Linked DNA regions of Caenorhabditis elegans. The protein of the gene in region 1 interacts with the protein of each later gene in a biochemical or structural test. Each region holds a gene or a part of one and is shown on either strand. Other genes may lie near its edges.

Region 1 (5,632 bases):
CAATAATCATGTGCTATTTTAAGTATTGATAAAATAAACATCCCAGTACCTCGCTCCAACAAGAAGTGAATCTCCATCGGCGGCAAGAAGCTTGAAGTGGTCCGATTCATCAGACGATGTGCCAATTCCACCGAAGCGATCTCCGATTCCAACTGTAAAAAGTGTGTATTTAATAGGAAAATTAATTGTAGTTTCTTTTTTTTTGTTCATAAATCTGTTCGACTCATCAAAGAAGGTAACCGAACACCCTTCTTCCTCTCCTCTTTCTCATTGGTTTCCAATTTATCTAATTTCCGAAAACGATCTCATTTTGGACACAGGGAGTCGGCGGTAACCTCTTTTTGAGGGACATATCATGCAAAAAAGGGGAGGAACACACATTTACCTAAAACGAATTCATTTTTGAAGGACGCCGAGAGGAGAAACATACGTTATACGTGGGATGTCATGCTTATTACTTATTACCCAACAACAATTCATTTGTATAAAGGTCATCTTTAGTAGATTTAACCCCTCTACTTTTCCCCGGTCCTTTCCATGATGTCCTTCTTAAAAGATGACAAGTTTGAGAAAGGGGAAGAAAAAGCGGGAGACGATGTCCCCCGAGGATTCAAGACTGGCAAGAAATCGCGCAATCATATACTATGTGTTCTACACTAATCGCCTATTCCCTGAGGGAGCATCATGACTATCATTATAAAGAAAAAGGATGTGGAGTAGGAGAATTATGATTCTTTGTGCCGAATCTCAGCGTTCAAGTAAGCATGGTAGAATTTATGAACCCCCAGGTTAACTAATTTGTATGCAAGAAAGTAGGCTAATCTTCGTCGTTCAACACACTTCCCCAGCATATTCCCAGGTACTTCACTTGTCCTCCTACTTAACTTTCCACCAATTTCATGTTTTGTTTTCTTTTGCTGTCCCGCCGACCCAGTTTTTTTCTCCCAAAAATGTTCCGATATAGATGGAATCTCGAAGATTGAATATCTATTCCGTTAGGTTCTTCATTCCCTCCCCGGTTTAGATCTTGACACATCTTTTGAAGAGGATCGTATGTCGGCCTGAAGGACATCATCAATGAGATGTTGTTCATTCGACAGATGTCTGTCTGTGTGTGTGCATAAGTCTTCAAAAGTTATGCAAATTCAGCAGAACCCAACACGATTTATCACACTTTATTAGAAATCTGGTGTGCTGCTGCGTAAGGATGGTGTGTGATGACAAGACCATGATTGATTTAAACGGGACATATATATATATTTGACACAAGACAGGTGCTTGTCTTTTGATTTTGATTGAGAGTGAGGTGTCATGTCGTATTGTAAATTTCAGATGCATACTGATTTTGTATTCATCAAAAATTATTACAGTATTCTATTGCAACAGGCAATAAAAATCCACTGATATTCAGAATGGCTTCAGTTTTTATTGACATGGCATATCGGATATTTTTGCACTCGTGAAGGTGTACGGTATACAGCACGGGTGGGCGACAAACGATTTTTCCGGCAAAGTGCCGGAATTAAAAATTTCCGGCAAATCGACTAACCGGCAATTTGCCGAACTTGCCGACAAAAAATTTGCCGAATGGCAATTGTCGCCCATCCCTGGTATACGGTATGTATTTCCTGCCACGTTGAGCGGGCTGTTTGACAATTCATTTTTTGATATTGCAAGCCAGCCTAGCCTGGAACCCATTGCATCCTGCTGCTAGGAAGAGCGAACCCTATTGAAAGGTGTCAAACTGATGCCAATTCAAATAGTCATCTTCTTGGATTCTCTTAATGATTGATTGTTTTGCATAAATAAATATCATCTACATTGCTAGGGTCATTCGTGACAGGTGCCTGCTCTCAAAGATTTTTATGACGCAACAACCATAATTTCCATCTCCTTTTGTCTCCCTCCCCACCTCTTCACCATGCTCAGATTTCTTTTGAGCTCTTTTTCGGTCCTTACCGCCAAGTCGAGAGAGACAGCAAAAAGGGGGTGAGAACAACAATACGCCTGGCGGTATACACATGTATATTTGCAAAGAGAACGTAACCGGATGATCCATGTTGGTTGCAGGACAACAATACCATATGCCAGAGAGGAAATTGAGAAGGCAAGGGGGGGCTCCCGGAGCACGAGAAACTAGGCTTGATTGCGCAACAAATGGCCGTTAATGGGCATTGAAAGCGGAACGACGTCAAGTGTTTCGGGTTCGGAAGAGCATGCTAATGAACCAACGCTCATATTCTACATTTTATGTGCGTCGGCATTCGAAGTCTCGAGTGCCTAGTTAAACCGAGAAGTAACAGCAATATACTAACCAAACAGTGTCACTATCTCAACTCTCGAAAAAGAAACAATACTCTTCTCTTTCTCATATTTACTCGATTAGGTCTCGAGCGTAACGCCATTGTTTATAAAGGCAGGTTGTGACATCTAGGGAGTAAAAAGATTGTAAATATGTTCTCCCAAAAGTGAGATAAGCTGTTCGGGACACACACACATTGGTGAGAAGGGGATACAAGGTCCGACTGCGCGGTAGATCTCTACGGTAGATTATTGGCATAAGATGAGGTCAGTGGAAAAAAGTGAGAGGAAAGCTGGAGGTCCTAGGAAAAGTTTCAGGAAAAAGATATCATTTCCAGCTATAGGTCAACTTTTGAAATTTTGCCGAATTTTGCCATCCTATACATTTTACCCAAAGTATTTCTGCTGAAAATGAGCCATTTTCGTGTAAATGCATCGTTCCCTTCTCAACTTTTCACTCTGTTTCGTCAGAGTATGGATAGTGTGAGATAGTTGAAAAGATGCACCGCGCTCCTGCGCGTGCGCCAGCGATGCTCGGATCGTTTTTCATCCCTTTCTTGCTATTGTAAGGGAGGTCAGGAGTCGGAATCATAGCGGATAGAACATTGAATTCAATTGAATTTAGTTTGAGCAAGGGAATTTTTTTTAGATAAAGAAGCGTCCGGTTTTTCTTTCGTCGCATTTAACTTAAGGTACATAAAACCTTGCCTGAATTAATAATCTGCTTTGGTCTCAAATTGACAACGCCGCCCGTAATTGCCTCGGAGCTCCTGACGACATTGAAAAGAAGCAAAAGAGTTAGTATTCGTCGCATTTATCGCATTGGCTGAAATAGGTATAATTTTAAAAATTGATTTTTAAAAAATCATGAGAACGATAAGAAAATTATTGATAGCAGGAAGAACACGTAAACATACATCGACAGGAAGGGGGAGTATAGTGATTAAAAAATAGTGGTCATTAAAAACGAACTTTGAAAAAAAATGGATGATGTGTACAATGTATCAAATATATTTGTTCAAATCTCTAAAAAGACCCCGGGGTATGTGTCACTCACAGGTACAAATTTCAAAATGTATTTTTTTAGTTATGAAAAATAAAAACATTTAGTTTTTGTACATCTAAGCTGAGGAAATAGGCCTTTGAAAATCAATTATAAAAAATTGTGTGTGTTTTTTTTTCAAAATGTGTGCCAATGTACAAGAGTACAAAAAAGGCACTTGTAGATTTGGGAACCTATCAAAATTTAAATTATCTGATTAGAAGATTTGAGCATCAAAATGAAGGCTACATTATCATAATTTCAGAATTTTCTAAACGTGAAGTTACTTTACATTTTTAGGAATTTATACAAAAATGTTTTTATTCCCTAAAGTATTTTAAAAAACTTCATGGTACAATTTCAAAATTGTAACTACTTTTTGAGATACGACTATAATGTAAGTACCAAGTCAAAATATTTAAAGCACTAACAAAAGGCTGGAAACGAAAAGCGCAGATTAATAAAATGAAATCATTAAAATTGATGATTTTTTTTTCATTCATTAAAAAAAGATCAGTCAAGAGTGATTGAGAGTGGCAGACAACACGACAATGAATACGAAGAGAAAGATGAGGAATCAGAAGATGTGTAGTAGCATCTTCATCAGCACCCGATGTTGAAAAGTGTGTGCGTGTGTGTGTGTGTGTGTGTGTGTAAAGTTACACTGAATTCAGATGCTAGGTGTGGATCCGATGGTGGTGGTGGAGAAGAGAGAGGGATAGAGATACCCAAAGAAACAAGGGAGAACACATTAACAGTTAGTCTAATGGCAATTGAAAGTGAGAGAGAGAGAGAGAGAGAGAGAGAGAGAGAGAGAGAGAGAGAGAGAGAGAGAGAGAGAGAGAGAGAGAGAGAGAGAGAGAGAGAGAGAGAGAGAGAGAGAGAGAGAGAGAGAGAGAGAGAGAGAGAGAGAGAGAGAAATGTAGATTGAGAGATTAGCAGAGAAAATAGTTGCATGATAAGATAGGTGGCAGTATTTTCATGGTCGTAGTAGAAAAACATCTTAAAATTCGGCTGAAATGGTCGAGAAGAACTTTAATCACTTTTGATGGAGAAAGCTTACTCCTACTCGATCAGGTCAAAACATCCGCTATAATAAGCTTGGTGTAAGTAAGTAAGTAAGTAGTTCCAAAGAAGAACAGCTTTTTAAATAAAGATGATTCTAATAGTAGGTTGATTGTGAATGGTTACTAGGTAAAGGTTATTGGGTTTAGTGGGTGTGGCGCGAAAAGAGTCGAGGACCAGGGCTAGAGGGTGAGAGGCAGAGACAAACAAATAATTGAATGTGAATTGGCGAATGAATGGGTGCATGGGCGCCGAGTGACCAGTCAAGACTGTTAGAACTTTTTTCTCTACGTCTCTCGTTTTCGATATCCCAAAATTACGATTACTTGATTTTTTCTAGATCTATCTCGAATAAGCTACACAATTTTATTATATTTCCTGGCGTATTTTCAAAGACTCTCGAAATCCATCAAGTTTGAAAATGGAAGATCTAGAAAGCTCTTACACGGCCATGGGTCGATTTACGCAATTGTTGGGTGATCATCAAAAAAGTTTGATTTATTTCACATTCGGAATTCCTATGTTATTATTTTTGGAGAAAATCGACTGTTGTTAAATAGGGTAAACATTAATTTTCTCTGAAAAAAATTGACAATGTGAATGTTAAATAGAAAATAAATTGCTCCAAAATCAAGCTTTCCAGCTGAACACTGCAAAATCTTCCTCTCATAGCGTACAAGAGCTATGTTAATCTTCCAGAATCCAACAAGAGAGATCGGTGCATTCTTGAACGCAGATAAAGTAGATTACGCAGGTTTGATGTGTAAAGCTGACAGCGTAACAATGATGGGACGAGAGCAGAAGACCAGGTGAGAAGAAACATGTATTTACATAAGAGAGGAGGAAAGAAGTAAAGCTAGATTAAAATAAGTGGTGGAAATTCTAATAAAAACTAATAAAACCACATCTAAGAACCCGTCTAATTAAAGATCACCGGGCAGAACGTGTGCTACTATCTGGTGGTGAGACACTCATAAAGCCAATAAAACGACACCACCGGTCATCTGAAGAAGCAGAACACTTAGTCGCCGTCATTGTCGCCTCTTATTCCCACATGAGAAGGCGCTGAGGACAGAAAAAAGGCAAAAAGGAAGAAAAGACATGGGACACCAGCGGCCAAAAGAGATGATGGTGGGGAGGAGGAGGAGGGGGACACAGGCGGTCGACCGAAAACGAAAAATAGAGGCGGGGCTTGGATGACGGCCAAACGGACAGACAGGGGAC
Region 2 (5,410 bases), on another chromosome or scaffold:
TTTTATTGAAAATTTTTCAACGAACAAAATGTTAATCATATAATTTTCTAACATTTTTTAATTGAACATTTTTTGATATCCTAAAAATTGACCGAAATATGAGTTGTCCTATCAGGCAAGACATGGTACATCAAGGTGTTTTTTTATCTGTAGGTTCTTTTTTAAAATTATTGTACATATCGTTAGAACTTTCAAATTTCTTTAAAATGGCACGAGGCTTTTGTAATCCAAAAACGCAAAGACACACTTAAGTTCCGCCCATTTCTTGGCTATTCACGTGGTGTCAGGCTGTCTCATTTCATTTTGATCTACAAAAAATGCGGGAATATTTTTCCAGAAAAATTGTGACGTCAGCACGCTCTTAACCAGGCGAAATAAGATGAGAAGTCTGCGTCTCTTCTCCCGCATTTTTTGAAGATCAAATCGAAATAAGACATTCTGACTTCCCGTGGCTATTCTCTCCGAATGAAGCGCCCATTTCGATGTCGGTCCAACATCGTGGCGAGACCAGACAAAATATCGCCAAGTCAAAAATAGACATTATCCATAATTCCAGTATACAGGCTCCGCCCACTTCTTGGCTAAGTTCAATTTTTGTAACAATCTAGTATGTTCTCCTCATCAAGTCAAACATAATAATTCAACACAACACTGTCTGCGTCTCTCTGTCTCCCTTCATTCATTTTCATTACTTATTACACACCGACCCCCCAATAGTTGTGCTCGATAAAATCGCTCGTCGTGTCTGCGTCTCCTCTACCCCCTCCACTCTCTCGAACCGATCACTCGTGGTGGTGGTATATGTGTGTGTGGTGGAGTGTGATTCATTGAATGAATGAAGGAGACACCCATTGACTTTCGGAATAAGATGTCCTTGTATCTGTTCTCTGTGTGTGTGTGTTTCTCTGCGTCTCTCTATCTCTAGACTATCTTGTAAATTCCCCATCAGCAAAGTTTTGTGGTTTTAGGGCAGTGATCTGGTGATTTTTTCACTCAGAAATCTGTGGTTTAGCAGATTTTTCGAATTTTTTCCTCAAAATCTTTTTTTTTTAATTTTAGGTTTAAATAGTTTTTTAAGGGGCTTTTCAACTGATTATTTGATTTTTTTGATTGAAATTTAATTTTTTTTAGGAAAAAAAAACTGAAAAAATTGTAGATTTTTTGAATTTTTAAAAAAGTTGGAAAAATTTGACCCGATTTAAACATCTTAAATTTTTGAATTTTTTCTGCTTTTTCTCTATTTTCTTGTTTTTAGCCCACTTTTCAAATTTCAATTTAAAAAATTATAAGAAAATCACCTTTTTTATCGAAAATTACACGGATTTCTGGCTTCCCTCATAAATTTAAATGGAAGAGTTTGCCGAACTAGACCATTTTGGGTCAGAGAGATTTTGTGTAGATTTACGGCGCGTTGCGTGTCGCGTCGCGGCTCGATTTTAGTTGTAAAACTAAATTATTTATAAGTGTGGAGTACACGACTTTCCCACGCGTTGTCCGGCGATTGTCAATGGAGCGCAAAAAATTCAATGAGGAAGGCCAGAACCCCGTGAAAATTTCCAGAGAAAAGCATGTTTCCTTCAAGAAAACCGGTGGCCTAGGTTTTTTTCTCGGTCACGTTCAAAAAAAATCCCTCCAGTATAATTTCTGAGCTCTTTTTTTCAATTATCTTGATTAATTTTTAGAAAATTTTGAATTGCAGGTCACATTTTTAGATTTTTTGAAAAAATTTCAGAATAGTTGATAAACATTTTTCATCTTCGAAATTTAGACATTTTTCTAGAATTTTACAAAAAATTAATGTTTTTCTATAAAAGCCTGGAGTATTGATGGATCTCATTATGAATTTTCCCTAATATTTCCGCAAATTTTCTCATCTTTTCGGTAATTTTCTCCGACTTTTACTTATTAAACCCTTTTCCCCAATAATTTCTCAATTTTCTCCGAAATTTTCGGTTTTCACAGGTCAAAATACTTATGTGGAGCGTGACTTGACATCTTTTATAGGTTTTTTCGAAGTAAAAATCAATTTTTTGCACTTTTTTCTCAATCATTACCTAAAAAACATGTTTCTCCGGACTTTGGAAAATCCCGTAGCAAGCGCGCCCCATTGCCAATTTTCGCACAAAAAATATGCCAGAACACCCTGATTTCTCTATTTTTTCTCAATTTTCCTTTGGATGTTCGCAAGTTTTCAGTTTTTAATCAATTTTTCTTCATTTTCAGAACCCCCGAGCGGCCTCGCCACTATCAATCATTCAAATCGGGGCTATATGGATGAGAAATAGGCATGAAATGCCCACATTTCTCCAATTTTTCATCATTTTCGGCGTCGCCGCCGCCGCCGCCGGCTCGAAAAATGTCTATTCGATCGATGATAATCTAGTTTTCAAGAATCCAAGCCATGATGGACATGAGGTTTTTGAAAAAATGGTGAGTTTTTTATTTGGAAAAACCGAAAAAATCAGAAAATTTGACCCTAAAAAATGGTTTTTTTTTGAAAATATGAAAAATTTGATAAAAATCAATAAAAATTGTTGGATTTTTTGTTCTAATTTTGCGGAATGCCATTGAAATTATTAAAAATATCACGAAAAATCAATTTAAAAAAAAGTAAAAATCGCTAAAATCTAATAAATTCGCACACTTAAATTCACTGTTACCGTAACCCTTGTCGGTGTGAGACCCAAAATGTTAATTTTCGTGAAACTTCGCACAAACTCAAAAAAAAACTGTAAAAACCCGGGTGAAATCACATTTCGGCAAATTTGCCGAAAAATCGATAATTTCCCGAAAGATCGCACACGTGAAATTACTGCTACCGTACCCACCAGTCGCTGTAGTACCCAAAATGCTCAGTTTCTTGAAAATTCAAAAAATATCGAAAAAAGCCTGGAAAAGTGGCAAATTTAACCAAAAATCGATATTTCTTCGAAAATCGCAATGTGCTACCGTTACCCATTTTCGTGACGAGACCCTTCTTCTGAAAATATGTAAAAATTTGTACAAAATTGCACAAATTTAAAAAATTTCCAAAAAAAAAAACCAAATAATTTTTCGACAAAAATCGATTTTTTCCGAAAAAAGTACACGTGAAACTATCGCTACAGTAACCCATTTTCGTTGTGAGACCGACAAAATCGTGGCGGGACCCATATAGCTACGGTAGCACTAGTTTAACGTGTGCCGGAGAGAAAAAATCGGAAATTTATTGATTTTAACAGGTTTTTTTCTCGACTTTTCATCAAAGATCTTCAAATTTCAACCGAAAATTGATGATTTTACCATTAATATTTCTAACTACAGTAATCCTAATCTTTGCGGGACCATGTAGGTACGGTAGGACTCGTTTAACGTATGCCGGAGGGGCAAAATATCGAGAATTTATTGATTTTCAACATGTTTTTCTCGAATTTTCACCAAAAAATCGATACTTGTAACATTTAAATTCAAAGATACAGTAATCCTAATTGTGGCGAGACCCGTATAGGTACGGTAGCACTCATTTCACGTGTGGCGACTCTGGAAAATCGAGAATTTCGATTATTTTCAACGGATTTTTCTCAAATTTTCCACTAAAAATCGATAATCTACAAAAAAAAATTAAATTTTATTTGCAGGCAATCGATCCATCGACCACACGGGTATTTGTTGGTGCTGTCAATAGTCTTTATGACCTGACAAGTGCCGATTTAACTGTAAGAAGACATGTACAAACTGGACCTCAAGATGATTCGCCATTGTGTCGTGGTAAGTGGGTTTTTTTGGCGAAAAATTTGGAAAAAATCGATAAAAAATCAATTTTTTTTTTCATTCCGAAAAAAAAATTTTTTTTTTCGAAATTTTTTTTTCAATTAAAAACCCCCAAATTTATTGATTTTTATTTTTTTATTTTTCCCTATTGAAAAAAATTTTTCCATTATTTTCCAATTTACCTAAAAATTCACAAAATTTCTTTTTTTTTTTCCAAAACAATTTTTTTTTCAACTTCCATAAAAAAAATTGTATATTCAAATTTTTCACATAAGATCGCATGAAAAATCTGAAAAATAACTAAATTTTGCCTAAAAATCCACAGAATTCGCTTCATTTCTGAAAAAAAGTGATCTTGGATTTTTTTTCAAAAATTAAAAAAAAAATTTTTTCCCAAAATTTCAAAAATTCATAAAACTTCAATTCTTTTGTAATTTTAGAATGAAATCACCTATTTTTCACTGAAAATCATTTCTTCATTTCCAGAACAAAAAAAATTCTTTAAAGAAATTATACCAGCAAAAAAATTGTTTTTTTTTTGGAATTTTTTTAATTTACCAAAAATAAAAGAAATTATGGCCATACAACTTAGAACTTTATTAAAAAGCTGAAAACTCACCAAAATTTAATTTTTTCTTAAAAATACAAATTCTAAATTAAATAAAAATTAAAAAAATATATATAATTAAAATTTCTTAAAATTTCTTCACAAAATTTCACATAAAAATCTACACAGAATTCTCTTTATTTCCGAATAAAAGTAATTTTTTGAAAAATTTCAATTTTTTTTTAATTCCAAAAAAAAATTTTTTTTTTTCAAAAATTTCAAAATAACCATTTTTGCAAAAATTTTCAGAACTCGACACTGTTTTATTCTTTTTTCCACTCAAAATCACATTAAAAATCTTGAAAATTACAAAAATTTGCCTAAAAACACCACAAAATCTCCAAATTCTCTCCTCCATCCATCCCAAAATGTCATAAATTACTCGGACAACTTAGTCAAATTTCCCCCTTTTCTCCGTGTACTTGCTCCAAAATGCTCCAAATTAGGGGTCCACACGGATAACCCTAATTACCATAATCTCTCCTCCTCCACACATGTTGGCGGATGGAGACTATTCTGCCTTCTTCTTCCTGATTTAAAAAGGGGAATATAAGTAGCTTTGAGAGGATTTTCGGGGGAGGAGAATACACTTATAAAATGACAAAGGAATGCCGAAAATGGATGGATGGATGGGGGAAGATATAGATTTGAAGTAGTTAGTTAGTGGAAAAAGTGAAGCTAAGGGGTTTTTTTTGGCCAAAAAATGGGGAAAATTGGGTTGGAATAGCCGAAATTGTTGGGAGAAAATAGGTGAAATTTGGCTGAAAAAAAGACTGAAAATAGCAGATAATTGGCTAAAAATAGCCAAAATTTGACTGAAAATAGGCGAAAATTGCAAAAAATTGTTCAAAAATGGGCTGGGCATAGCCTAAAATAGCAGAAAGTAGGCGAAATCGACTGAAAACTGGCAAAAATTGGCGAGAATTGGCAAAAACTCTGCGAAATTGGCTGAAAATAGCTTTAAAAATTTGCCAAACAAGACTGAAAATAGCCGAAATTTTTGGGACAAAATTGGGAAATTTTGGCTGAAAATAGCCTAAAACCAGCCAGAAA

What was found. Proteins that work in one complex are often made in the same cells at the same time.
Region 2: the proteins of smp-1 (region 1) and plx-1 form a complex in vitro, tested with the Caenorhabditis elegans proteins (one study listed by BioGRID).

What each region holds. Positions count from the first base shown.
Region 1 is NC_003279.8:14,804,963-14,810,594, reverse strand, and holds the start of smp-1 (Semaphorin-1A), read right to left. Parts: upstream 3,134-5,632; 5' UTR 3,116-3,133; coding exon 3,010-3,115; intron 153-3,009; coding exon 50-152; intron 1-49.
Region 2 is NC_003282.8:957,229-962,638, forward strand, and holds the start of plx-1 (Sema domain-containing protein), read left to right. Parts: upstream 1-2,292; coding exon 2,293-2,430; intron 2,431-3,617; coding exon 3,618-3,747; intron 3,748-5,410.